Saccharomyces cerevisiae S288C: one gene and its partners. The protein of the gene in region 2 interacts with the protein of the main gene of each other region in a biochemical or structural test. Each region holds a gene or a part of one and is shown on either strand. Other genes may lie near its edges.

Evidence for each region.
Region 1: the proteins of CMD1 (region 2) and IPP1 form a complex in vitro, tested with the Saccharomyces cerevisiae proteins (one study listed by BioGRID).
Region 3: the proteins of CMD1 (region 2) and ROT1 form a complex in vitro, tested with the Saccharomyces cerevisiae proteins (one study listed by BioGRID).
Region 4: the proteins of CMD1 (region 2) and CMK2 form a complex in vitro, tested with the Saccharomyces cerevisiae proteins (one study listed by BioGRID).

Annotation. Positions count from the first base shown.
Region 1 is NC_001134.8:256,612-264,694, forward strand, and holds IPP1 (inorganic diphosphatase IPP1), read right to left. Parts: upstream 1,365-8,083; coding exon 501-1,364; downstream 1-500. Other genes in the region: HHT1 (histone H3), read left to right, coding at 1-130; YBR012W-A (gag protein), read left to right, coding at 3,258-4,580.
Region 2 is NC_001134.8:454,464-460,123, reverse strand, and holds CMD1 (calmodulin), read left to right. Parts: upstream 1-1,761; coding exon 1,762-2,205; downstream 2,206-5,660. Other genes in the region: ALG1 (chitobiosyldiphosphodolichol beta-1,4 mannosyltransferase), read right to left, coding at 1-1,252; AIM3 (Aim3p), read right to left, coding at 2,459-5,302; IML3 (Iml3p), read left to right, coding at 5,594-5,660.
Region 3 is NC_001145.3:658,092-666,022, forward strand, and holds ROT1 (Rot1p), read left to right. Parts: upstream 1-6,660; coding exon 6,661-7,431; downstream 7,432-7,931. Other genes in the region: YMR196W (uncharacterized protein), read left to right, coding at 1-251; v-SNARE protein VTI1, read right to left, coding at 454-1,107; CIK1 (Cik1p), read left to right, coding at 1,654-3,438; cyclin CLN1, read left to right, coding at 4,553-6,193; DNA repair protein RAD14, read right to left, coding at 7,754-7,931. UniProt on the Saccharomyces cerevisiae protein: Required for normal levels of the cell wall 1,6-beta-glucan. Involved in a protein folding machinery chaperoning proteins acting in various physiological processes including cell wall synthesis and lysis of autophagic bodies.
Region 4 is NC_001147.6:291,295-300,128, reverse strand, and holds CMK2 (calmodulin-dependent protein kinase CMK2), read left to right. Parts: upstream 1-4,008; coding exon 4,009-5,352; downstream 5,353-8,834. Other genes in the region: YOL014W (uncharacterized protein), read right to left, coding at 62-436; IRC10 (Irc10p), read right to left, coding at 1,291-3,051; ESC8 (Esc8p), read right to left, coding at 5,456-7,600; t-SNARE syntaxin TLG2, read left to right, coding at 8,055-8,834.

The DNA of each region.
Region 1 (8,083 bases), 200 kb from region 2:
AGAATCTGTCGAAGCCTACTTAGTCTCTTTATTTGAAGATACCAACTTGGCTGCCATTCACGCCAAGCGTGTCACTATCCAAAAGAAGGATATCAAGTTGGCTAGAAGATTAAGAGGTGAAAGATCATAGTTTGTTGATTGTCATCAGTTTTAGTAAAAAACGAACAAAAACACAATAAAATATAAATCAATATATTTAGGTTTACTGGGTTCTTTAACAGTTGTATAATAGTTATTTTTTATTACAAAAATATAGGTTTTAATAAAAAAAAATAGGGTTCTATTTGTTTTACATTTATTGATTTGTTTTTCCTGGCGATACCCTCGAAAAAAGCCAGGCCTTGTAGGAGGCAAGATTTATGGCTTTCCATGTGGTTAAAGAAAAATTGCAGCAGGAAGATATTCATTCATGAGTCAGTTATATAATCGATATATAGCTACATATTAAACAACTTGAAGCCGCATACGTGGTAGGTGTCTCATTTTCAATTCAAAATATTTTAAACAGAACCGGAGATGAAGAACCACTTGTCAATAGACTTGTCAATTGGAGCATCTGCCTTTGGAGAAGCTGGTGGGATGGCATCAGAGGCAGCCTTGGAGTAGGTTGGGGTGTCAGGCAAAGTAACATTGGTCAAATCAATACCCTTGCTGTCAGAAGACTTACCAGCAATTAATTGTTTCCAGGAGTCATGTGTTTCCTTGATGATATCCAAAGCGTACTTCTTGTTCTTAGCTTCACCGGAGAAGGCAAATTGGTTTTCTGGCTTACCATCTGGGATTTTGTAAATTCTGAACCATTCGTTAGTAGCCCTCAACAGACCTGGGAAGTATTTCTCAACATCCTCAATGTCGTTCAATTTTGGGGCTAATGGATCGTTAATATCAATGGCAATAACTTTCCAATCGGTCTCACCTTCATCCAATAAAGCCATGATACCTAGAGCCTTAACTTGCTTGACTTGACCAGTGTAAGCAATAGTTTCACCAATTTCCAACACATCAATTGGATCGTTGTCACCAACTGCCTTAGTTTCTGGGTGGCTTACGTTTGGGTCTTCCCAAGTTTGTGGGAAAGCACCATAGTTGTGAATGTAACCATGGTGAGGGAAACAGTTTCTAACAAATCTCAACTTGCCCTTCTTGGTGTCTTGGATGATTGGGTTCAAAGTTTCTTCCTTGGTGATTTCTAACTTGGCGTTGGTCCAACGTGGAATTTCAACAACCATGTTGAAAATGTTGTTTTCCTTGTCAGCGTACAAGGGAATGTCGTGGAAGGCAGAAACTGGCTTACCATCCTTTTCGATATAAACTTTGTATTCCAAGGTGTTCTTGGCACCAATTTGTCTGGTAGTGTAGGTCATTAGTAAATTGCGCGGCGGGATATCCTGTTCTATAGACCTAAGGGACAACAAATCAAAATAGATGATTAAGAAAGTAAGTATTCAAAAACAAGTTGTAAATGAACTAACCTTCCTAACTTCGACGCGACCTTAAAACGTCGAAAAAAAACGAGAAAAAGTCATCATGAGACTATCGTATCTAATGACTGTGGCTTCTCCCAACAACCTTAGCGTCTGCGATGACGATATTTTGAAGAACAGTCAAATCCGTTTGAATAGTGCGCCACACAGGGATAATAATAGCACATTGGCATCTCCTTCTGTGAATGAAACACTTCTACCTGGGCTTCAAAGTCCCGCAACCTTTTAGTTACATAAAATTCGGCGGCTAAATCATGATATTATATTGATGGGTAATGTAGCGTTCAGTAAAACGGTTCCTATGTATTACTATCACGTGGGTGGGGAAGACCACATTCTTAGAGAAGAGTAATCATTTTAGCAGATTATTTTTACCTTTTTCAACTCATGAACTCATGTTCAAAGGTACAATATATTACCCTTTCTTCAAAGTATCCGAATGATTTGAACCGCACTCTGAGGGAGCCATCAAATTCTATTGAGCGACTTCGAATCGAACAATCCAATTAAATCAGCCTTTAGCGCCATATTTCTCCTTGTATCCATTGTTTACTTCTCCCTTGTATCTTGTATATGAGAATTATGGGAATAAGATAATTGTTGGGATTCCATTGTTTTCAAAGGCTGTAATATTAGGTACACAGATTATACTAGAAGTTCTTTTCGAGGATATAGGAATCCACAAAAGGAAATCGATAGTTATACATAATAATATTATTGTATCTTACTTCCTTTTATATGTTGTCACTCATTATTGTGTCGTGCATTCCATTAGATTGGATGACTGTTTCTCAATCTTTATGCCATCCTCTTACACCGCATGTGATATAATAGTAACATGAGTGCTGCGAAATAGATGATATTAAAATTTCATTCCAACAAAGTTCCATATATATCCATATATATATATATATTTCACGAGGATAATGAGTTAAAATACTATGTAAAGGTATTGTGGTTCATTTTTCTTTTATCAATTTTTATCCAAGTTTTTCTGATCTATAACATGTCCAATACACTTTTTCGAACTATAACCGCCAACAAATTTATCTTATAGACGAGAAACACTTTTATGATATCGATGTTCTACACCTACTGCCGATAACACCGTGTTTTCACTATTATAGCATATACCATTTTTGTAACCAATGTGTTGTTGTAATTCTCCGCAAGGCATATCCCAGATATTCTTATATGGCCCATTTCCACTTCGTTGAAGCCTCACATCAAAAGAGCAATCTTGAGATAATTTCAAAACCACACACATCGCTGCAGTTTCATAATATCTGTCATCACTGATGCAATAATTAAGTGACGAAATTATATCATTATTAACAGCTGTATTATTATTATAATCAAGACAAGCTGAATTTGATGCAAATATATATTCCCATTCAGTGCCGTTTCTTTCGAATTTATAGAAATCACTTCTTTGTAGGTAATTGTTCTGGCTTACTTTGAGCTTATTCATGTTAAAGTAATTGTTGGAATAAAAATCCACTATCGTCTATCAACTAATAGTTATATTATCAATATATTATCATATACGGTGTTAAGATGATGACATAAGTTATGAGAAGCTGTCATCGAAGTTAGAGGAAGCTGAAGTGCAAGGATTGATAATGTAATAGGATAATGAAACATATAAAACGGAATGAGGAATAATCGCAATATTAGTATGTAGAAATATAGATTCCATTTTGAGGATTCCTATATCCTCGAGGAGAACTTCTAGTATATTCTGTATACCTAATATTATAGCCTTTATCAACAATGGAATCCCAACAATTATCTAATTACCCACATATATCTCATGGTAGCGCCTGTGCTTCGGTTACTTCTAAGGAAGTCCACACAAATCAAGATCCGTTAGACGTTTCAGCTTCCAAAATTCAAGAATATGATAAGGCTTCCACTAAGGCTAACTCTCAACAGACAACAACACCTGCTTCATCAGCTGTTCCAGAGAACCCCCATCATGCCTCTCCTCAACCTGCTTCAGTACCACCTCCACAGAATGGGCCGTACCCACAGCAGTGCATGATGACCCAAAACCAAGCCAATCCATCTGGTTGGTCATTTTACGGACACCCATCTATGATTCCGTATACACCTTATCAAATGTCGCCTATGTACTTTCCACCTGGGCCACAATCACAGTTTCCGCAGTATCCATCATCAGTTGGAACGCCTCTGAGCACTCCATCACCTGAGTCAGGTAATACATTTACTGATTCATCCTCAGCGGACTCTGATATGACATCCACTAAAAAATATGTCAGACCACCACCAATGTTAACCTCACCTAATGACTTTCCAAATTGGGTTAAAACATACATCAAATTTTTACAAAACTCGAATCTCGGTGGTATTATTCCGACAGTAAACGGAAAACCCGTACGTCCGATCACTGATGATGAACTCACCTTCTTGTATAACGCTTTTCAAATATTTGCTCCCTCTCAATTCCTACCTACCTGGGTCAAAGACATCCTATCCGTTGATTATACGGATATCATGAAAATTCTTTCCAAAAGTATTGAAAAAATGCAATCTGATACCCAAGAGGCAAACGACATTGTGACCCTGGCAAATTTGCAATATAATGGCAGTACACCTGCAGATGCATTTGAAACAAAAGTCACAAACATTATCGACAGACTGAACAATAATGGCATTCATATCAATAACAAGGTCGCATGTCAATTAATTATGAGAGGTCTATCTGGCGAATATAAATTTTTACGCTACACACGTCATCGACATCTAAATATGACAGTCGCTGAACTGTTCTTAGATATCCATGCTATTTATGAAGAACAACAGGGATCGAGAAACAGCAAACCTAATTACAGGAGAAATCCGAGTGATGAGAAGAATGATTCTCGCAGCTATACGAATACAACCAAACCCAAAGTTATAGCTCGGAATCCTCAAAAAACAAATAATTCGAAATCGAAAACAGCCAGGGCTCACAATGTATCCACATCTAATAACTCTCCCAGCACGGACAACGATTCCATCAGTAAATCAACTACTGAACCGATTCAATTGAACAATAAGCACGACCTTCATCTTAGGCCAGAAACTTACTGAATCTACAGTAAATCATACTAATCATTCTGATGATGAACTCCCTGGACACCTCCTTCTCGATTCAGGAGCATCACGAACCCTTATAAGATCTGCTCATCACATACACTCAGCATCATCTAATCCTGACATAAACGTAGTTGATGCTCAAAAAAGAAATATACCAATTAACGCTATTGGTGACCTACAATTTCACTTCCAGGACAACACCAAAACATCATTAAAGGTATTGCACACTCCTAACATAGCCTATGACTTACTCAGTTTGAATGAATTGGCTGCAGTAGATATCACAGCATGCTTTACCAAAAACGTCTTAGAACGATCTGACGGCACTGTACTTGCACCTATCGTAAAATATGGAGACTTTTACTGGGTATCTAAAAAGTACTTGCTTCCATCAAATATCTCCGTACCCACCATCAATAATGTCCATACAAGTGAAAGTACACGCAAATATCCTTATCCTTTCATTCATCGAATGCTTGCGCATGCCAATGCACAGACAATTCGATACTCACTTAAAAATAACACCATCACGTATTTTAACGAATCAGATGTCGACTGGTCTAGTGCTATTGACTATCAATGTCCTGATTGTTTAATCGGCAAAAGCACCAAACACAGACATATCAAAGGTTCACGACTAAAATACCAAAATTCATACGAACCCTTTCAATACCTACATACTGACATATTTGGTCCAGTTCACAACCTACCAAAAAGTGCACCATCCTATTTCATCTCATTTACTGATGAGACAACAAAATTCCGTTGGGTTTATCCATTACACGACCGTCGCGAGGACTCTATCCTCGATGTTTTTACTACGATACTAGCTTTTATTAAAAACCAGTTTCAGGCCAGTGTCTTGGTTATACAAATGGACCGTGGTTCTGAGTATACTAACAGAACTCTCCATAAATTCCTTGAAAAAAATGGTATAACTCCATGCTATACAACCACAGCGGATTCCCGAGCACATGGAGTCGCTGAACGGCTGAACCGTACCTTATTAGATGACTGCCGTACTCAACTGCAATGTAGTGGTTTACCGAACCATTTATGGTTCTCTGCAATCGAATTTTCTACTATTGTGAGAAATTCACTAGCTTCACCTAAAAGCAAAAAATCTGCAAGACAACATGCTGGCTTGGCAGGACTTGATATCAGTACTTTGTTACCTTTCGGTCAACCTGTTATCGTCAATGATCACAACCCTAACTCCAAAATACATCCTCGTGGCATCCCAGGCTACGCTCTACATCCGTCTCGAAACTCTTATGGATATATCATCTATCTTCCATCCTTAAAGAAGACAGTAGATACAACTAACTATGTTATTCTTCAGGGCAAGGACTCCAGATTAGATCAATTCAATTACGACGCACTCACTTTCGATGAAGACTTAAACCGTTTAACTGCTTCATATCAATCGTTCATTGCGTCAAATGAGATCCAACAATCCAATGATCTTAACATAGAATCAGACCATGACTTTCAATCTGATATTGAACTATATCCTGAGCAACCGAGAAATGTCCTTTCAAAAGCTGTGAGTCCAACCGATTCCACACCCCCGTCAACTCATACTGAAGATTCGAAACGTGTTTCTAAAACCAATATTCGCGCACCCAGAGAAGTTGACCCCAACATATCTGAATCTAATATTCTTCCATCTAAGAAGAGATCTAGCACCCCCCAAATTTCCGATATCGAGAGTACCGATTCGGGTGGTATGCATAGATTAGATGTTCCTTTACTTGCTCCCATGTCCCAATCTAACACACATGAGTCGTCGTACGCCAGTAAATCTAAAGATTTCAGACACTCAGACTCGTACAGTGACAATGAGACTAATCATACAAACGTACCAATATCCAGTACGGGTGGTACCAATAATAAAACTGTTCCGCAGACAAGCGAACAGGAGACTGAGAAAAGGATTATACACCGCTTCACCTCCGATCGGATACTTCCGTCATCAGAAAGTAATTCACTACACCATGTCGTTCCTATCAAAACGTCAGATACTTGTTTTAAGGAAAATACAGAGGAATCTATTATCGCTGATCTTCCACTCCCCGATCTGCCTCCAGAACCTCCTACCGAATTATCAGACTCTTTTAAAGAACTTCCACCGATCAATTCTCGTCAAACTAATTCCAGTTTGGGTGGTATTGGTGACTCTAATGCCTATACTACTATCAACAGTAAGAAAAGATCATTAGAAGATAATGAAACTGAAATTAAGGTATCACGAGACACATGGAATACTAAGAATATGCGTAGTTTAGAACCTCCGAGATCGAAGAAACGAATTCACCTGATTGCAGCTGTAAAAGCAGTAAAATCAATCAAACCAATACGAACAACCTTACGATACGATGAGGCAATCACCTATAATAAAGATATTAAAGAAAAAGAAAAATATATCGAGGCATACCACAAAGAAGTCAATCAACTGTTGAAGATGAAAACTTGGGACACTGACAAATATTATGACAGAAAAGAAATAGACCCTAAAAGAGTAATAAATTCAATGTTTATCTTCAACAGGAAACGTGACGGTACTCATAAAGCTAGATTTGTTGCAAGAGGTGATATTCAGCATCCTGACACTTACGACTCAGGCATGCAATCCAATACCGTACATCACTATGCATTAATGACATCCCTGTCACTTGCATTAGACAATAACTACTATATTACACAATTAGACATATCTTCGGCATATTTGTATGCAGACATCAAAGAAGAATTATACATAAGACCTCCACCACATTTAGGAATGAATGATAAGTTGATACGTTTGAAGAAATCACTTTATGGATTGAAACAAAGTGGAGCGAACTGGTACGAAACTATCAAATCATACCTGATAAAACAGTGTGGTATGGAAGAAGTTCGTGGATGGTCATGCGTATTTAAGAATAGTCAAGTAACAATTTGCTTATTCGTTGATGATATGATATTGTTCAGCAAGGACTTAAATTCGAATAAAAGAATTATAGCAAAACTCAAGATGCAATACGATACCAAGATTATAAATCTAGGTGAAAGCGATGATGAAATTCAACACGACATCCTTGGCTTAGAAATCAAATATCAAAGAGGTAAATACATGAAATTAGGTATGGAAAACTCATTAACTGAGAAAATACCCAAATTAAACGTACCTTTGAATCCAAACGGAAGAAAACTTGGTGCCCCAGGCCAACCAGGTCTCTATATAAACCAGCAAGAACTAGAGCTAGAAGAAGATGATTACAAAATGAAGGTACATGAAATGCAAAAGCTGATAGGTCTAGCATCATATGTTGGATATAAATTTAGATTTGACCTATTATACTACATCAACACACTTGCACAACATATACTATTTCCGTCCAAGCAAGTGTTAGATATGACATATGAATTGATACAGTTCATATGGAATACGAGAGATAAGCAATTAATATGGCACAAAAGCAAACCTGTTAAGCCAACAAATAAATTAGTTGTTA
Region 2 (5,660 bases):
AATCAGCATCTTTCATAGCAAAAATCAGAGATTCATGAAGCTCCCTTCTATCAACAAATTTTAACCCATTTACATTGTGTTGTACTAATTCGTCAAGCACTGGATAGTTCATTGCAATAACAGGAAGACCTGAGCCAAACATATCTAAAATTTTCATTGGCAGGTCCAACCCTGAACTTGAAGTATGCAGGGAAACTCCGTAATCGCATAATTGTAATAACTTTGGGTAATCCTCTGCTGACAACCACACAAATTCGATTTGACAGCGCTTCCAGTCATATTCTTCTACTTGCTTCATATATTTCTCCTTTAGTGGTCCTTTACCCGTTATAAAACACAAGATCTTAGGCAAACTTGAATCAAATTTGACATAAGAGTTTTCGTAAATCTTTAGGGCACCTAATAAAATACCAATATCTTCATCAGGGGTGAATGATGTTGAAGTCACAATAATTTTATCGCCTTTTTCTGTATCAAAATCATCGCGAATATAATTCTTTATAAAGGCTTTGGTAGTTAGGGCTTTTTGACGAGAAATGTCACCTGCCAAAGGTTGAAATTGGGAAGCCGGGCGGTCGTAGAGAACAGCACATCTCTTTGGATTCAAGTGAAAGCTTTGAATTAAATATTTCCTCATTGCTTCAGTAACAGTCAAGTTATAATCAGCAAATTTGCTGAATATCATCTCTACCATGTAAGATATCAACACTAAAGGATGGTAAAAGTTTCCTTTAAATTTTAGTTGCAATATCGAATATGCTAGATTGTGCCAATCAATAATTAGTTTACAACCGGTCAACTTGTATAGCACAGCAATCGGAAGAATGGGTATGCTCGGTGGATTTTGAACTAGTATGTAATCGCTTCCTCTCAATTCCCAAAGTAATTTGAAAATACTTAAAACTTGAAAAAGCACCTTCTTTACCATAAATATAACTGATGTTCCGCCTCCCTTTCTTTTCAAGTTTGACATATGATGGACGGTGATATTTGGATCACTGGAAATAATTTTGGGTAGAGTGTCCTCCACATAACCGCATAGCTCGACTTGCCAACCTAACTTACTGAAACTTATAGCGTGATAGCATATCCTTGGAGAGTGTCCTACATCACCCAGCACAAATATGATGATCCTTTTTTTGGTCGACTTGTTGCCATAAAACAAGTAGGGTATAACATAATAAACCACTAACGGTATGGAAAGGTATAATATTATTAAGGCAAGTAACCACCGAGGAATTTCCAAAAACATTTTCACCAATTGACTATAGCCCCTAAAATGCCGTTACAATTACCCTCTAATGGCTTTGCTAATTGCTGATTGAAAGATATATGACCAATTAACTTGATGATTGCTATATGCGCGTTCTATTGAAGCAACGTGCAAGATGATCACTGCTTGGATTGACCTTGTTTTAGCAACAAGCCATACAAAGATATCAGACAGGAAAGTCACAGTCAAAGCATGCAAAAATCGACAAAGCAAACATAAGTAGAACCTGAGAACATCAACCATATGTCCTAATGAATTCAAGCACCCTCTTTTCCACCCAATTTGAGACATTTTCAAGATGTATTTATATTTTCGTGTACTGTGATATGACTTTATTCTTAGAATTTTTTATTGCCCGCGTAAGAAGGTGTTTAACAAGAGATCTTGTTAACTCACAAGGGTACTCTGACTGGATAGAAATCTTATTCTTGACCGGAAACTATCGAACTACAAAGAAAGAGCTTAGTTAATACAAATAAAAAAGTACAATGTCCTCCAATCTTACCGAAGAACAAATTGCTGAATTCAAAGAAGCCTTTGCCCTCTTTGATAAAGATAACAATGGCTCTATCTCATCAAGTGAATTGGCCACTGTGATGAGGTCATTGGGTCTTTCGCCCAGTGAAGCAGAAGTAAATGATTTGATGAACGAAATAGATGTTGATGGTAACCATCAAATCGAATTTAGTGAATTTTTGGCTCTGATGTCTCGTCAACTCAAATCAAATGACTCTGAACAAGAACTACTAGAAGCTTTTAAAGTATTCGATAAGAACGGTGATGGTTTAATCTCCGCCGCTGAGTTGAAACACGTGCTAACATCCATTGGTGAAAAATTGACTGATGCCGAAGTAGATGATATGCTAAGAGAGGTTAGTGATGGATCAGGCGAGATCAACATTCAACAATTCGCTGCTTTGTTATCTAAATAGGTGCATCCTTGTGATTTTTTGCTCCCGCTATCTTACCCTTACCATTCTGGTTTTATAGTATTCGTTGAGTATCGTTTCATCTAAAGTTTGACAACCACACGCAAATATATACTGTACGTAGACAGGGTTAATGTTATTTATGTAGATAAGTAATGTTCCTGAGAAGACAGTTTAAATAAAGGATACGGATTGTTTACCAAGGCGGATAACTAAATTTAGCCAGTATTAAGTTCAATGTTGCGTAGCTATTTCATTATTTTAATTTATGCAGTCTGTCATCTTCTTGAGGAACAACATTTCGTTTGTATCTTTCAAAAGGATTTAAGTTATCGTCAGCAGCAGAAATATCTCCCGAATAGGCCCTCTCCATTTCAATAGGTCTTGGTTCGAGCGATTTTAGTAATGGCTTTTTCTTTGGGACCACTGGTGGCTTTTTCTTCAGGTTATCATTCTTTTTTGGGACAACAGGCGGCACTTTCTTTGGACTAGACCTAGAAGGTGGAGGCCTTGGTGGAGTAATAGACCCCGATGCAGACACATATTTTTCATCTAGATCTGAGGGAACAGGGCTAGAGTCCTTCACTTTTTTCGAACCGCCTAACTTTTCCAAATTAACGTTTGTTTTTCTTAATTTGATATGCGACAACTCATTGGTAATGGAGTTTAAAACTTCATCTTGTCCAGTTGCTTCCCTAGTAAGTTCCTTGGGATATTCATTGGCCTTTAAAGAAAAATTTCTAGGTTTTGGCTTTACAACAGGAGGAGGCGCCTTCTTCGTAGACTGTTGCGCTTGAATAGACGAAGTTACAGGAGGTATTGACTTTTCATATTTATTAGCATCTTTTGAACTATCAACTTCGGATGTTATAGTACCCTCATGTAACTTCTCAGATCTGGATGGGGCCGGAGGGGTTGGCGCTCTTTTTCTAATAAAGCTGTTGGGGGCATCACCCAAACGACCGTTTTCTGTAGAATTCTCACTCTTGGGGTTGTATTCATCACCATCATGGTGCTTAGCTATACGCCCACGCCCACGCCCATGATTTGCCTCAGGTCCGTCGATAGTATAAGAACTATCACTAGAATTGGACGATTGTGAACGCCTAAATGGTTTTGGTGGTGGCTGGAAGTTTTGAATAGGCTGTGTCTCCATATGAGCTCTTCTGAATTGAGATTGCGATTGCGGTTTCGATTGAGGTACCAACGATGGTTCAACGTTTCTATCTTCCTCAGAGGGGTGCCCTGGCAAAACTTCACCCTTCATTTCTACAGGTGATGCTTTACTATTCTGATTTTGTTTAGTTTCAGTATGTCTAAATGGCTTCGGTGGAGGTAAAAAATTAGAAATGGGATCCTCCTGTACATTAGCGGCATTCGTTGACAGCACCGACTCTGTCCTCTCAAAATTGCCTCGTGATGGGGGAGGAGGAGGCTCAACATTGTTCCGAGGAGGTAGAATTGGCACTGCCCGTTCTGGTGCGTTCTTCGTGGTGTGCTCAGAAGGTACAGAATCAAGTCCATGTCTGAAAGGTTTTGGAGGTGGCATGATGTTGACATCTACATCATAATGTCCTAAAATGGACGACTTGGAGGTACTTTCATCGTTTTCTTTGTTTCCAGAGTTCCTTTCATTGTCTGCAGTAGTAGTTCTTGAATGCTTTGCTGGCAATGAAGCCGCCGAAGAGGTTGTGTTAGGCTGTATTTTCCCACTTGGCGCAGGTTCCTGGTGTACAACTGCTCCTCTATCCCTATGAGTGGGAGGTGGTGGAAGGCTACTAACGTCTACAGTGGGAATATCGATTTTGGGCTTCGGAGCAGGTGCGTCTGGGTCAAATGGAGTAACTTCAAAATGTGGGGTTGAGCCAGTAGAATCAAGAGAAGGCTCAATCGGATAGATGTTTCCCTGTTGCATTGGTTGCGGTGGCTGTGGCTGCATTCTTACAGGCACAGGCGGTTGTCCACCGACTGGAGGCTGACCTTGCATGGGTGAAGCTCCATAGCTGGGGTTCGAATCTTGCATGTTTGTAGTACTTGACATGGCTTGGCCATAGACAGGCTGAACCGCAGCCATCCCAGAAACTCCTTCCACGTTCATTTGTGGCAACAAAGCGTTGTTTTGGTTCAGAGGCTGCTGTTGCTGTTGCTGTTGCTGTTGCTGTTGCCCAAAGCCATTTGACAGAGGCTCTCCGGGCGCTGGCAAGATCACTTGACCGCGCGGGGGCGGTAATGGTTGCCCTTGTTGTTGCTGTTGTGGTTGTGCAGGTGATGGTAAAACTTGCTGGCCAAACTGTGTCGTGGGCTGCTGCTGTTGGCCCGATGGAAATTGGGATTGTCCGAGATTGGTTGAGCCATGTGATACGTATTGCGGCTGCTGATGACACTGAAGACCGTTCTGGAAAGACGGTGATGGTGCCGGATTACTTGATTGGGTACCATATTGCAGATTTTGCGAGACAAACCCTGTGCTTTGCTGAGAAGCAGAGTTCAGAGATACCTGACTTGGAATTGCATTTTGGGGTTGATTTTGTTGCGGCAGCGACTGGTAGCTGGTTGCATTAGAATTTGACCCATACGGTGGTACTTGCTCTCCATATATAGGCGGCTGCTGTGGCACTACACCTTGTTGCAGCTGCTGTTGCTGTGGCATTACACCTTGTTGCAGCTGCTGTTGTGGATACTGATTATACTGTGGTTGTGCGTATTGTGACTGTTCCGTCGATCCTGCGCCAGGTTGGCCTTGGTATGCACCCTGAAAAGCATAACTGGCCTGACCATTTGGCATTTGCTGTTGCTGTTGTCCTGTATAAGTTTTTTGTCCAGGTTTCAAAGGTGGGGGAGGAAAGGACTTTGGGTCTTTTAAACTTCTTATATCGGTCGGCTTTCTTTCGTACTCCATCTCATCTTCGCTATCATACTCCTCATCACTTGAATTTTTCTTACCACTCTTCCTTTCCCTACGCGCTTTGCTGTTGTTATAGTGCTTCTTACTTGCCTTATACCCTGTCTTGGCAACGTACTTTGTTCCTTGGTAACCATATTTACCGGCGCTCTTCAGCCCTGAAGTGATGGAATCTTTGTTGTTCTCCCAAAATCCCATGCTGGTTGATAACTTGATTTTTTTATGAAAGACCTCTCTCGAACATACGATTATGTAAACTCAAAATGACTTTATCCATATATGTATACACTTAATTTAGATGATGAAATATAAAAAAATAGGGTGGTCCCTGGTTTTCCTGAAGCGCGATTTAGGCAGATCCAGTGGTACTACGGGAAAAAAAAATGCCGACACCGATATGAAATAGACAACAACCATAGTGGGATGATCTGGTCGACTGCATGGTTGATTTGATTGTCTATAGGTATCAACGTACTTCCTTTGGATGGAATGCCTTATACTTGGAAGTTTTTAGGAATCAGCAAGCAACTTTCACTGGAAAATGGTATAGCAAAGT
Region 3 (7,931 bases), on a different chromosome or scaffold from region 2:
GGGGCACCCATTCTGGGTTGACACCACAAAGCAGCATTTCAAGTGACAAGGCTAGACATTTGATGGAGGAAATGAATGAAGAGGAAGGTATTCACGAAACTGTGGTACCTGAAGATCGTCACAACTTTGAAACCAAGCTTATAGGCAAGCTAAAAGATAAGGTGAAAAATATGAAAGTAACTGACAAGGCTAAAGATGAGGATATAGACCCAATGGACCCAATGAGTCCGTTGAATAAGGATGTGTCTTGATTAACTGCGGTGAACCTTCAATATCTGTACGTTTGAAAAATATTTCCAACGATATACCTCTATATTTTGATCTATAGAATATTTAATTGCAGTAGTTTTTTATCAGTAAGGTAGCGTTGATATTACTAGTGAAGGTAACTCTATAGTTCCTTGACATGTTCTTTAGATTCTAGAGGTTTTTTATTGAATTTGTTTTCCCACCTTATTTAAACTTTGAGAACAAAACTAGCAAAATCAATAATATAAGGACTGCGATAATGGCATAGCTTATGAATTTATTAGCAACTAGCCTTCTAGTCATTGTTTTTAGTGTCTTTATACTTTTATCCACATATGAATCCGCTTGAAACAAGGTCTGTCTTGCATTTTCCAAAGTTTCTCTCTGTGACCTTAAATCCATCATTATTTGTGACCCTATTCCTTCAGTTTCATTTGCTATTCTACTGGCATCTTTTAGTCTATCTCCCGATTTCTGTAAGATTGCATGGTTGCTCAACAACTGTTGCCTTTGGTCATCGTCAATATTAGATGCGTTAAGATCTCCAAAAAGTCTATCACGATCGCCTGAGTCTACTAAGGATTGCAGTGGTCGTTTGATATCGCTCTGTATAGTCTTCTTCCATTCTCTTAACTTCGCCTTGTACGTAGCACGTTCTGAGGCATCGCCTATGCTGTTATTAACTTCTACATCCATCTGATCTAGCAGGTCAAACAACTCATCTTGTTGCTGTTCTACGTGCTTCAGTGTAGTATTTCTCTGTGATAACGGTTGTGAGGGGGCCTCTGCTAAGCTCGCTTTGGCTTGTTCTAAGGTTGTTTTGAAGTCAGATTCGTATGATATTAATAGGGAACTCATAGTAAGCCATGCAGCAATGTAAAGAGTGCGGTTGATTCGTTTTATACAACTTAATGTAAAGCTTTACACTTTTCCAAGAATAGTAATTGCCCTATATAGCACGACTACTCCACTCCTAACTTTCATTGAAAATTAGACAGTCATGTGATCAGTAATATCGTCCATAGTGATATTTGTTTGTTTACCATTTTTGTTCTTATTTACTCTCTAATATGATTCTAGTATATGAAAGATACCACTGTCGTAGCTCGTATCAAAATAAAACTAGTCAGTCGTTGACCATTGAGCATATCGTCCGAGAATAAGGCTTTACTGTATTATTTTTTGATATCCACACGTTATTGAGCTCATTCACTGATCGACACATTTAGGCGGCTTTTCCGTTTGGCTGAAGCAACTTTGAAACACAACTACGACATTATAATTAAGCGCCTAAATAAGTGAATTTTGTGCCATAGGGTTGGACCGTGTATATATAAGAGCTATTCACTATTTTAATATTTGTTTTGGCATTTGAAACTCGTTGACATAAGCTTTATTATTAGGATGAATAACTCCAAAATTCCTAAACTTTCCTTTCATAGTGATCCAAACAACGTCACTCGAGACTTTCCAAAGACAAAACGACAGAAGGTTCAGAAAAGAGAAATGGATATGATACTAACTCCTAATAACAACAAGCTAAATATATTGCACAGCTCTGGATCTGGTATACGGCGCTGCTACACTGATGACACCTCCGCTACGTATACTAAGAAACTAACCTTTGGGGGGGACCCCAAGATTATTGAAAGGGTTAAGAACAATGAACGTAAGGTTAGAAAAGACATAGATTCACTACTGAATGCTATTTCTGAAATTGAAAAGGAATCTGTTCGTATTCATGCCAGGGAACTACCTGCAATAACATTAGAATTAGATGCAAAAGTCAAAGCGTGCAGGGAGCTACAAAATGAGATTGATGGACTATCAACGGAGATGGACTTGAAGGATAATCAATGTGATCTTCAAAGAAAGAATGTTGAGCTATCATCAAAAAATATAGTGTCTATGCATGCAGTAAAAGTACAAGAGTTCGAAAACGATTTAGAGGAAGAGCTATCGAATGCCAAAAGGGAGTGGACGTATAAATTAATGGAAGTAGAAAATTTGAAACCTGACGAAAGGTTAACTGACGAAATGCGACAGCTTAAAACAGAATTCGAGGAGGTCAATAGGAAACTATTCATTCTACAGAATGAAAATGAGAACGAGTGTAAAAACTACAAAAAAGAATTGGACAAGAAATTCGAGATATTCAAGAAAGTTAAGAACGATGCTAGAATTGAATTAGATGGGGAGCAAGAAAGACTTTCGAAAGTTTTAAAAGACCTACAAGACACCCATGGTGAACTGAAAGAAAATATTAAGACGTGTAGAGATGAGTTTAACGATTTTGAAAAAAGGATTGGAGAGGCAGAAGTGAACTTCCATAGCATGGAACTTGCCGTTGTTCCTCTCAAAAAGAAGCTTGCTTCTACATCACAAGCATTGACGCAAGTGCAGGAGGAGAAGAAGCAAGTCGAAGGAGAAGCAAACAATTGGAAGAAGAAGTACGTTAATGAACTAGAAAAGGTTCAACAGGAATTATACACACGACAAAATCTGGCCACTTCAATTGAAGAAATCAAAGGATACACCCGATGCTTTGCGTATGCCAATGAACGACAAATGCCTGATGAATTCCATATCAACTATGTGGATCGGTGCATTTGCGAGAATAGTGGAGAAAAACGGGTACAAGTATTTGATAGAGTAGTTCTCGAAGAAATCCATAAGGATCACAAACGCTTATATAACGAATGCATTCCGTTCCTGGAAAAATACATCAGCAAGTTAATTAACTGCAGCATTATAGTGGTTTCGCAGCAACCCACAGCACCAATGAAAAAGACTTTGCTAAAACAGTTAATTGAGCAGTACGGTGAGAATTATAAGATGACATTGAACATTTTGCATCTTGACGGAAGTATTAAACACAGTGACGTTGGATTAGATAACCCAACAGAAATTAGAGATCTGTCACAAGATGAAGAATGCATGAACATTTTAACTTTAGATACCAAGTTGGGAAAAGATGAAGAGTCCCATTCAATGAATATATATATCGGTAGTATGTCCACGGTACAGCTGAATAGAGAGCTTGATGATGCTCCCTCAGTCCTTTCGCATATTCTCACTAAAACAAAGCAGTGCTTTGTCTTCAAGATTAACGCTGGTGAAAACATCGAGAAGGCTCTAGCCTTAGCGGGAAAGCTGAAAAGAACAATAACATTACCTCAGCTAGATTAAGAAGGCCAGATCTTGTGCGCTACAATCACTTCGTCTCGTTCCCTTACATAAAAAACTTACGTAGCTACATTGTCGTGCGTGGCATCAACCTAATTATCCTAGCAAAATAAAAGAGAATGTTACGGGACTAACAGGCGGATGTAAATTACTCACTTAAACGCAGCCAAACATCATCGAGAACTTAGGGTAGCGTGCCACAAAATTTGCATGAATAAACTTTTGTTTTCCTAATTCGACAGCATTCCCTTGTTCGCAACACTTCACTGATAGGAAATCGAATAGCGCACACTCTCTTCTGGGACATACCCCAATGCGGTAAAGCCACGAAAACACCGCGCGTAAAGGGGTAAACAAGTCCATTCCTACAACCTCTTGGAGAAATTCTTTACCTACTACAACCCCGCGCCTGATACTTTCAGTATTCATGACAACTCGAGCCAGATCCCGCTCGTGGGCGTGTTCATTCTGTGACGATCCACTAGCGACTTCTTTGTTCAGCCTGCAAGAGACGCGTTCAAGGAAGAATTCGCGATTTTACTTCTTCGAGGGAATCTCGCACCGCGTTAGTTAGTTTCCAACCTTGAAAGCATCGGAGACGCATTTTTGGCGATTTTGCTGGATTGAGCTGAATGGTGCCAGGTCGAGGCTGGGAGGGAGACTAACTCGAAAGTGACGAAGACTCGAAAATTAAAAAAAAAGATACTGCAGAAGGCAAGATTGAGAATGGAGTAAAGGCAGCGTGGGTCCCCTGTGGAAACCGCAGTTTTCCTGCGCCAAGTGGTACCGGTGCGAGTGCAGCAATTAATCTCTCGATATTTTCTTAGTATCTCTTTTTATATAAGAATATATTTTGGAATTGGTAATGCTTATCTTCAATAGTTTCTTAGTTGAATGCACACTTAAGAGCAAATTGGCCAAGGAGTTCTTCGTTCGCTTTAATTTATTTCCTGGTTATTGTCAATTTATTCATCCCATCTCCCCAGGATAGAAGAAATTAGTGTAATTTTGCTGACAATACATTTTAACGACGATAACAATAATAGCAATTAAATAAAATAGCACTACCACCACTCCACTGCTCGTTAGCTATTTCTGTAAAATAAATAAAAAGATCATGAACCACTCAGAAGTGAAAACTGGGTTAATTGTCACTGCAAAGCAGACATATTACCCAATTGAATTGTCCAATGCAGAACTACTAACTCATTACGAAACCATACAGGAATATCACGAGGAAATCTCTCAAAATGTGCTGGTCCAATCTTCCAAGACAAAACCAGACATAAAATTGATCGATCAGCAACCGGAGATGAATCCTCATCAAACTAGAGAAGCCATAGTAACATTTTTGTATCAACTTTCAGTGATGACTAGAGTAAGTAATGGTATCTTCTTCCACGCTGTCAGGTTCTACGATCGCTATTGCTCTAAGAGAGTAGTGTTAAAGGACCAAGCTAAACTAGTTGTAGGCACCTGCCTTTGGTTAGCGGCCAAAACTTGGGGAGGGTGCAACCATATTATAAACAACGTCTCCATCCCCACAGGTGGTAGGTTTTATGGTCCCAATCCTAGAGCTCGTATTCCACGCCTTTCTGAATTGGTTCATTATTGCGGCGGGTCCGATTTATTCGATGAATCAATGTTCATTCAAATGGAAAGACATATCTTGGATACTCTGAACTGGGACGTTTATGAGCCCATGATTAATGACTACATTTTAAACGTTGACGAAAATTGTTTGATACAATATGAACTTTACAAAAACCAGTTACAAAATAACAATAGCAACGGCAAAGAATGGTCCTGTAAGAGAAAGTCACAATCTTCTGACGACAGTGATGCCACAGTGGAAGAACATATCAGTAGTTCACCGCAAAGTACTGGACTAGATGGCGATACAACTACCATGGATGAAGATGAAGAACTAAATTCCAAAATTAAATTGATAAATTTGAAAAGATTCTTAATTGATCTGAGCTGTTGGCAATACAACTTGCTTAAATTCGAATTATACGAAATATGCAATGGTATGTTTTCTATAATAAACAAATTCACTAATCAAGATCAAGGCCCTTTTCTCTCTATGCCCATTGGTAATGATATAAACTCAAACACTCAAACGCAGGTATTCAGCATTATCATCAATGGCATAGTCAATTCTCCCCCATCTTTAGTCGAAGTTTATAAGGAGCAATATGGTATAGTACCTTTCATATTACAAGTAAAAGATTATAACTTGGAATTACAAAAGAAACTGCAACTGGCCTCTACAATAGACCTAACCAGAAAAATTGCTGTCAATTCTCGTTACTTTGACCAAAATGCCTCTTCATCATCAGTTTCTTCTCCAAGCACATATTCTTCGGGAACCAATTATACTCCAATGCGAAACTTCAGTGCACAATCAGACAACAGTGTTTTCAGTACTACCAACATTGACCATTCATCGCCGATCACCCCTCACATGTACACTTTTAATCAGTTTAAAAACGAAAGTGCTTGTGACAGTGCCATAAGCGTAAGCAGTCTACCTAATCAAACCCAAAATGGTAACATGCCATTATCAAGCAATTATCAGAATATGATGCTAGAAGAAAGGAATAAAGAGAATAGAATTCCCAACTCATCATCCGCTGAAATACCACAACGTGCCAAATTTATGACGACTGGTATATTCCAGAACACAGGAGAACTTACTAATAGAGCGTCTTCGATATCGCTATCGTTAAGGAACCACAATAGCTCTCAACTGTGACCATTTTCTCATCAAGCCTACATATATACTTAATTAATAACGGAATACTACGCTTTTCCATCGTAAGTAATAATGACATTCATACTTGACATTTTAATACCAGATAATTTTAATGCCCACCTACAAACATCTAGCCTCAATATTCTTCACCTGAAACCAGCTGAATAGTAATATACCAATATTCTTTCAACGATTGATATAATTATCATCATGAACGGAAAAGATGACGCGATTTTCCAGTATTTTTTTCTTCCTTTCGTTCTAACGTTTGCGGTAAGCAAAGGAGAGTAGTAATTAGCAAACAGTTATAAATAGAAAGCCTCTCTAAGATTATAGATATATAGTCATACTAAAGCTTGAGATCTCATCTTTTTCGAGAACCTACCGGCATATTAAACTGAAGTAAGACATCATTCTGAGGAAAGGATCGGTATTATAACCATTATTATTTGTTGCACTTTATTACTATGTGGTCGAAAAAGTTTACATTAAAAAAGCTAATCTTAGGCGGGTATTTGTTTGCTCAAAAGGTCTATTGTGAAGACGAAAGTAACTCTATATACGGTACCTGGTCATCTAAATCAAATCAAGTGTTCACGGGACCGGGGTTTTATGATCCCGTAGATGAACTATTGATAGAACCTTCATTGCCCGGGCTTAGCTATTCGTTCACTGAAGATGGTTGGTACGAAGAAGCTACTTACCAGGTAAGTGGCAATCCTCGTAACCCAACTTGCCCCATGGCTTCGTTGATTTATCAGCATGGTACATATAACATTTCAGAAAACGGTACGTTAGTTCTGAATCCTATTGAAGTTGACGGTAGACAACTATTCAGCGACCCATGCAATGATGACGGAGTTTCGACTTATTCTAGATATAACCAAACAGAAACTTTCAAGGAATATGCCGTAGGTATAGATCCTTACCATGGTATTTACACCCTGCAATTGTACCAATATGATGGTACTCCAATGCAACCACTATATTTGGCTTATAGACCACCAATGATGCTTCCAACAGAAACTTTGAACCCAACATCGTCAGCGACCAGCACTGACGACCCATCCTCTAATAAGAAAAGATCACTGAGAAGTTTAGTGAGGAGGAGCCTGGAAAACAGACACAAGACGAATGCCATTAAAAGACAAAATACCTCATTTTTAACCTCCAATGCCATTTGGTATATTTCTGCGGGTATGCTAGGTGTAGGTTCATTATTATTTTTAGCATTTTAGGCGCACTACAGGGATACTTATTCAACCAATGGGGGAAAGAGGCCCCATGTGGCCTTCAAATAAATATTAAAAACTATAAACATATAAGGCAAAACAACTTTATCAGGCGAGAAAGAGAAGCAAGAATAGGTGTAATTTTATGCACCCAAGGAATTGATTGTAATCATATTATTAAATAAGGTGGATGAATAAAAGATTTTCAAACCAGTTTTTCCGAGATAGTTAATTATGTACGAGTGACAAATGGGATATCAATCAATGAACACAATCAAAACACCTTATTATGACTTTCTTGTTATATTCTTATATACATAACCAACATTTAAATGTCAATTTCTTCAGTTTCTAGCCCGCAGTCTGTACATCTTCTTCTTTGAATTTGATAACCGTCTTCATCAATACCTCCATCAACTGGATCACTAAAATGATGAATATGGGCTTTCCCATGCTTCTTTTCTCTTAATCTATTAGTATATTCTTGAGCTCTTGTTTTCAGTCGC
Region 4 (8,834 bases), on a different chromosome or scaffold from region 2:
CAGAATGTATTCATACACATATGCAACTTTATCTAAGTGCTCAAATATTAATGAGCTTTTCTCATAGTATAATGCAGATAAAAAATAATACTAATAGAAAGTACTGTAACATATTCGTTGGCTTCAGTGAAAGCGCATCGGACAGAGCATAATTCCTGGCATATGTTCTACCACAATTCCAATAATCGATGGGCGAACTTTTATTTTCTGCCACGTTAATTGAAGAGGAATAGCCGCAATCCAGGACACCATGCCAAGTAGATGTTGGCATATCAGCTGAGAATGTGGTTCCTGGAACCTTTTTAGTCAACGTTGCAAAAGCTGATTCATATGCTCTACCGCATGCCCAGTAGGCTTGTGCGTCTTCTGTTTCGTATCCAGACATGGCCGTATACATCACTCCCATGTTACCACAAAAAAAATGATGTGGTCGCATTTGGTGATAATGAAGTAGAAAATGTGGTTGTGGGGGAAGTTGTTGAATCAGACATTCTCACGTTACTTTACTTTTTTTGTTAAACTGAAATCTTTAAATAATCAAAGAGTTCAACGTTCGAGTAACTCTTTTTTGTTCTACTTTTAAGTAGCTTCACTTTTCTGAACAATTGAAATAGTTGAACAATTGACCACGCTACAACGGAATTTTGATAAAATAGCAAATGATGTTTTAATATATATAACTATTTATTATTTATGGTGGCTAAAAAATTTTCAGGTTTTCAGGCGACCTCTTCAGTATCCATTATATGCCGCGACAAACCCTTTTTCCAAAAACGGTCATCGATGTTTATTCCGAGTAGGCTCAGTTGCCTGCGCCCGGACCCTTCTTAAGGGGAAGTTCTCGAAACTTTATGTAATTTTAAGTTTAACATAAACTGTATAAGCCGCTGTAACACTGTACCAAGATAGGCGTTTTAATTACGGCCTAGATTGTTTAATATTTTGCTTAGAAATAATAGGGCACAAAAAAACATTCGAGGCTTAAAGTAGTGTCACATAAAAATGTGTCTTCTGGTACTTATTAGAAAAGGCTTCCCAAAAAAAGCACAAAAGAATTTAGTATTGAATGTTCATGCCCCTTGTCGGAATAAAAACGGAAAAAAGGGAGAGTAAACTAGTCTGTTGTAGCAGTAGGCAGTGATGATTATTCCTGGAAAAAATCAAAGATTCTGTCTTACACAACTTATTCAGTACAGTTTCGCTAAGTAAGGAAAGAAACTTTACAAGGGTAAAGTAGGTAAAGTTCTAAACTATATGTCAAGGGTGTCCCAAAATAAAAACTAACAGTACTTAATGAATAGAGTTCCTGGGATTGTGCTGATCCCAGTTTTCTTTGGCAGCTCTGAGCGCTTCTGCAACTCTATGTAGGCAATTTTTAAATCGGTTGACTTTTTCTCTAGATTTGTTCGGTAAAATGAGGTGTTCTTGTGATAAATTTTCTCTTTTGTTGTCACTTACGTCAACGCTCAGCCTAGGACATGATGTCTTAACCTTAATAGTTCTTCTCGACAATATATTTTTGAAATGTTCGTAATTTCTGAAGAAACTATTTTGTTTTTCAACACATACAGAACTTCTCCTCATGACAACACTTCTTACACTTTGATCTCTACTAAAGGTAGAATTTGGTGAAGCTAGATGGACTGGATAATATGGTGATGATTCCGATATTATTTTCAAATTAGGGGTCAAAATTCTGGACCACGTTGAAGGTTCCCCATACGGATCAGGAGCTGGGTTTGAGCAGACCCAATTTGCTGTTCTTCTCGAGATTGTCTTTGCAATAGCAGGAGTTATACGTTGCATTTCGGCTATCGCTTGATTAGTAGTGTCTTTTAAGGCACTTTCGTCGCTGGAAATTACTGTTGCATGTGTCAATTCGATTGAGAAGGGGTTACTATCTCTTGTGGCCTTTTGTTCCGGAAACGTAAGCAGTTTATTGCCTGAATCAGTAGAGACAGTTCTACCGATTTTTTCAAACTTCCTCTGTGTGGTGCTTTGTTCATTGCGAAAATTTGATCGGTATAAGCGATGTGTACGGTTTAAAGTAAGTTCTTGAAGGGTAGGATTGTTGCTTTCATTAATTTTTTCTAAAGAAAAATTACTTCTCAACAAATATTCAGTTTTTGCTGACGTTGTAAGTGGGAATTCGACGGAGAATGTTTTATCATCGCAAACGTTCTCACTTGTGCATGAACTTTTTGTTGTTTTTGATGTAGTGGCGTTCTTTCCCTTTTTATTCAATATCTTTTTCGATATATAGTGTAAATTTTTGGTGTCACTGTCTAGAGAAAGGAAAGTCTTTCTTGGTGTCTTTTCCCAATTTACAGATACTCTATAATTTACTGTCGTAACCGCAAAAGAATCCACTGAATCTAATTTTGACCATCTTATTGTTCGTTTGAAGGAAAAGCATAAAAATTTGCCGGTAAATTTTCCAATTTTCATACCGTCACCATGAAAAACTGCTCTTTTATCGTCAATAAAAACATTTGGAACATTAACGTTAGTTCTCAAATACAGAATTGCCTCGCCGGTTTTTTCATCCTTTACGCTCTTATATATGAGATCGTGGAAATGCTTGACAAACAAATTATTTAAATTTGCATGAGGTTCTGCAAATAGCAACATGTTGTTTTTAATCCTTCCAAGAACTTTTTTCATTAGTGCAAAATAGGGAGTGAAGACAGCATGGAAAGCGCTTTTTAACGTTTCATTCGTAAAGTTCAAACTGTTCACGGAACATTTTCCAGGCCAGTGGAATCGTACCCAATAAACAGTTGGACATAGAACTAGGACTGGCATACACTCTTCCATTTGGAGAATGGATATTAGTATAATGTAAATATAATTGATTTCATCTGGATGTCTCTCAAAGTCAGCAACGCTGATTCGTTGGATGTATTTGTTTGAACCTGCCAACAGCCTGAAGTACTCTAATTTTTGTTTGTATGTAGCGAAATTAGTAAATTTAGCCAATCTTAGCATGCCTCTAGAAAATGATATATTGATGCTTTCGAAGCCTGGTAATCTAGAGTATTCAATGAACATGATTGAAAAAGCACTAGGCCAGGTGATTATACCGCAGACTTACGGTAATATAAGGGCAAGAGAACTAAAAAAATCAATAATGTAGGCTTATATTACAGTTCTTTGTGAGATATTCCTTTCTAGAGCGTTTTCTGTGTCCACTCAATTAATATATACACTTCCCGTATCCTAACATTTACTGACACAATGATAGGCACAACGCGCGAAGGAGCGGTGGGGCTTTGAACAATAAGGACCCTTACATAGAAAAGGCGTTAGAACAACAATATGGTTAGGCCATAGAAACCTCGGTGTCTTTTAGGAACTTCACAGAATAGAACATACTGCAGTAGATATAAATACACCACTGGGGCAATGCAGCCTGGTTTTTTCCAAATATACAAAACACTTCATGATACTTACTAATGGTCGTTGATACAGTACTCATTGTATCATTGCAGGAGAGTTAGGTTGGCTTTTTTGCATTTATTTATTTATTCATTTACTCAATTGACAGGCAATGTCAATGATTTTTTGGAAGAAATTTGCCTAATGTTTTTACTCAGTTACTCACCGCTCCCTGGATAACATAAGGTTCATTTGCTTCCGTACTGATTTTTTTTGGCAGTCTATAAGCCACTATGTACTTCCCAATGCTCCTGCAGGCATATTCTTTTTCAATTTTCATGTTTTTACTTCCAGTCGTTGAGCATCATATGGATTCTATGTTGATGAGGCTTTTCAGAACGTGCTGTACTTTCGGAGAAGCGCCCGCTTTAACGCAGCGCGAAGAGAATAATTGAGGCTTATCTTAGAACCCTGCCCCCTTTGAAGCCACCCATTGCTGTTTCTCTTGGTAATCCTAATAATATAAAACAATACGATATTGTTCAAGATCAGCAGAACTTCAATTCGTTGATCAATCTTTTCGTCACCTTTTCTTCTATCACATCGCCAATATAAATATAGACACCAAAAATGCCCAAGGAGTCAGAGGTCATAAATTCTGAATTTCATGTAGATGTCCAAGATCCAGAGCGTCTAAACGGCCACCCTGTAGCAAAATTTATCAATAAATTAAGCGGTCAACCTGAATCTTACGTCAACAGGACTAATTATATTTTCGGTCGAACACTGGGTGCCGGTTCCTTCGGTGTTGTGAGACAAGCCAGAAAGTTGTCCACAAATGAAGATGTTGCTATAAAGATCTTATTGAAGAAGGCATTGCAGGGAAACAATGTGCAATTACAGATGCTGTACGAAGAGCTGTCCATTCTTCAAAAATTGAGTCATCCGAACATTGTGTCATTCAAGGATTGGTTTGAATCGAAGGATAAGTTCTATATTGTCACTCAGCTGGCAACAGGAGGTGAATTATTTGATAGAATTCTGTCTAGAGGGAAGTTCACAGAAGTGGATGCTGTTGAAATCATAGTTCAGATTCTTGGTGCCGTGGAGTATATGCATTCCAAGAATGTTGTTCATAGGGATTTGAAACCTGAGAACGTTTTGTATGTTGATAAGTCAGAAAATTCGCCTCTGGTAATTGCGGACTTCGGTATAGCTAAACAATTGAAGGGGGAGGAGGATTTGATATACAAAGCAGCCGGATCGTTGGGTTATGTGGCACCAGAAGTCCTCACACAAGATGGACATGGTAAGCCTTGTGATATATGGTCCATTGGTGTGATCACATATACTTTACTGTGCGGTTATTCTCCTTTTATTGCCGAAAGCGTTGAAGGATTCATGGAGGAATGTACAGCTTCGAGATACCCGGTAACCTTCCATATGCCATATTGGGATAACATATCTATTGATGTTAAGCGTTTCATCTTGAAGGCATTGAGATTGAATCCAGCTGACAGACCAACTGCTACGGAATTGCTGGACGATCCATGGATTACTTCAAAGAGAGTTGAAACTAGTAATATTTTACCAGACGTTAAGAAAGGGTTTTCTTTGCGTAAGAAATTACGTGACGCTATTGAAATTGTGAAGCTTAATAATAGAATTAAGAGGTTAAGAAATATGTATTCATTAGGGGACGATGGCGATAACGATATAGAAGAGAATTCCCTCAATGAAAGTCTTCTGGACGGCGTCACACATTCGTTGGATGATTTACGTCTGCAATCTCAGAAGAAAGGGGGAGAACTAACAGAAGAGCAAATGAAATTGAAGTCTGCATTAACAAAGGATGCCTTTGTTCAAATTGTCAAAGCTGCAACAAAGAATAAACATAAAGTTTTGGCTGGTGAAGAGGAAGACGATAGCAAGAAAACACTGCATGATGATCGGGAGTCGAAGTCAGAAGACTAAATTACGGACTTGAATTCGTGTACATAAATTCGTATATAATATTTAATGTGTAAAGCTAGTGACGATTTTATGTAACCAGCAGCTACACTTCATGGCATTCAAACTATAGACCTTTTCTGGCATTACGCCTCAAGCTTCTTTTTTCCCGAGAATTATCTTGTAGTTGCCTAACGGGTTCTGAGAAGATCTCTATATCATCACAATTCCTATCACAATCTTTAGCGCCATTGTGTAATTCTCTTTTCCCAAAAGATTTATCTGTCCTATCTTCACCTTTTCTTGTCAATGTATTCTCCTCACTCAGATATTCTGAATCATAGTCATCGCTAACGTCAATGTCAACTTCATTTTCACTTTCCTCGGAAACGTCACCATTTACATCACTCGAGTAATGCACCGTGGTTCTTCTCTGAGAGCTTGTTCGCAAATGACGTCCTTCAGTACTGCCTGTAGGGGCAGCAGTTATGCGCTGAATAGTCTCATTTATGAATATACTGAAAATTTTCAAAAACTCAATTAGATTGTCTATACCCTTTTTTGTATCATCGGTGTCATTTTCAGTAAGTGATGATAAACTTTCCAAATACTCAATGAAGTTGCTCAAAGAATTCGAGTCTCCTGCAACTTCAAACCAATGCGGCACCTCGGCAAAGTGAACATCATTGAACTGTAAATTACGGATACATGCAGGAGTGTTCCTATATATAAGTTTAAGTTGACACTTGTTTTCATTTTGTGCGGTTTTTGCAGGCAGTATTTTTGTACCCTCCTCTTTGAATTTTACGAAGTAATTAAGATAAGTTGACATGTCATTGAAACTGTAACTAGTGTTTACTGAACTGCATTCGTTGCCAATCCAGAATGGTGGTAAGTAGAAATCTCCAACTCGTGGAATTCTCGCTATCATAAACTCTGATGTCCTTAACTTGTAAATTTCGTCTACGGTGGGATCATCAATTGGTGTGTGTGTAAATTCGTTTGCAAAATATTCACCCCATTCTTCATTTATTTTAACTGCAGCTCGTAATCTGTCTGTAGTTACTTTTTCGCTCAATGATTTCCGAACACCCTTTAGAAATTTCATCTGACTATTGATCTTACTCAGTTTTCCTTTGTCGCTGGGCTTCCTTTTCTTTCGATTTTCCAACTTTTGACTCATCAAAGAGCATAAAACTTCACAACTATCTAATATGTTATTGGCCCCGCACATAGCAAACCTGCTGGCGTGAAAAGTTTGATGGTTGAACCCTGTATCGCCTTTCAAGTGAGTGAGCCTTTGAATTTCATTATGGAAAAGTGCGGAGTAGCTACAATTCCAATCGATCATGCATCTCAATAATATTATTCTATCTAATGGTTCCATCGTCAACAAACCACCTCCATTAAAATTTAGAGTAGATAAAATATCACTATTACCACGCCATTCTTTTGGTAAGCCCCACTCCTGGATTAAGCTTCTGAGTTTGCCAACCAGTTTTCCATATGGATTTTTCAAACTAAGAAATCTTTTTAGCGTGAAATTTCTATGAGTTTGGTTGTCTGCTCTTTTCTCGGAGCAGAATAATAACCTCAAAAGACTGCAAAATAGTAGATTCATTTTATCCTGACAAATTCGAATATTCTTCGCAGAATGGCCAGCCACCTTTAATTCTAGTCCTATCTCCACATCTTGAAATGACAGGTTCAGTAGATCGTCGCTGAACACCCATTTAAATTTGACGATAAAAGAAAGGATCTTCATAACATCGCCTGCATATGGGAGAGGGGTGCAAAGGGGAGGCGCCCAATTGCTTTCCGTTACCGTCTCATCACTCATAAACTTTGCAAAGTCAGAATATCGTAAAGGAATATTTGGTGACCAGTTTAATGTATTCAATGGTCTATTATTAGAAGTAGTGTGTTCACTGATCGACTCTACCTTGTTAGTGTCGTTCGAATGTGTTTTGATATTAGAATATTTGCTTGCCATATTTGCCTCCATTTCTTTAGTTTTCATTTCTTCATCACAGGTACCTTCATATTTCTCCCGCTTTTTAGTATTTTGGGTAGCAGCATCCAGTGATTCGTCAATTGAACTATTGTGAGAAAGTACAACAGGTTCTTCTACAATTTTGATGTTTCTGAAATCATCAAAGGTCAACTGACCCCTTCTTTTTACCCTAGGCTTTGAAGACTGGTTTTTCTGTTGTTTGACCATAGGTTTCTTGATAAAGTCATCGACCAAGTCTAAATCAATAATTTCTGTCATTATTGTACCTCAAATTTCTTGTTCCTTATTTTCTTGTTTGATGTCTAAAAAAAAGAGATATCCTGGTAATGAGCAGGCCGTTTCTTCAGCTCATACAATCGAAAGCTTAAGAGTTAGTCGTTGATATGGTATTCTCTAATACCGAAAATAACTTAGTACATATAAACGCGTAAAGTTCACGCGTTTATATCACCCTACCATATGACATTCTAACCCTACTAATTTTTTATCAAAGCTAATAGGGTTGTATTTTATTATCTTTTACACCTACCTTTTTTTTTTGTATATGCCCTATAGATGAATTATAATTGTTGGACCGGTTTGTATTGGGCTTTTAAGGTGTAAAGTGAGTGCGTATAGATTATAGCAGAATAGACTATAAGTACGGCAAGACAGGAAAGTCTCCAATTGATGTACATTTTATCGCTTTGTGATCTAGGCAGTCGTTACAAACATGTTTAGAGATAGAACTAATTTATTTTTATCATACCGTAGGACTTTCCCTCATAACATAACTTTCTCATCTGGGAAAGCACCCTTGGGCGATGATCAAGATATTGAAATGGGTACATACCCGATGATGAATATGTCTCACGATATATCGGCCAGATTGACAGATGAACGAAAAAACAAGCATGAGAATCACAGTGATGCGTTACCACCCATATTTATTGATATAGCGCAGGATGTTGATGATTATCTTCTGGAGGTGAGACGGTTAAGTGAGCAGTTGGCGAAGGTTTATAGGAAGAATTCGTTACCTGGCTTTGAAGACAAGAGTCATGATGAGGCGCTGATTGAAGATCTAAGTTTCAAAGTAATTCAGATGCTGCAGAAATGTTACGCTGTTATGAAACGATTAAAGACCATATACAACTCTCAATTTGTGGATGGTAAGCAATTAAGTCGAGAAGAGCTGATTATACTAGATAATCTACAGAAGATCTATGCAGAAAAGATACAAACTGAAAGTAATAAGTTCAGAGTATTACAAAATAATTACTTGAAATTCTTGAACAAGGATGATTTGAAACCTATCCGCAATAAGGCCAGTGCAGAGAACACGCTATTATTAGATGATGAGGAAGAGGAGGCAGCAAGAGAGAAGAGAGAGGGCCTCGATATTGAAGACTATTCAAAAAGGACGTTGCAGAGACAGCAACAGCTTCATGACACTTCTGCAGAAGCATATTTGAGAGAACGTGACGAAGAAATTACTCAGTTGGCAAGGGGT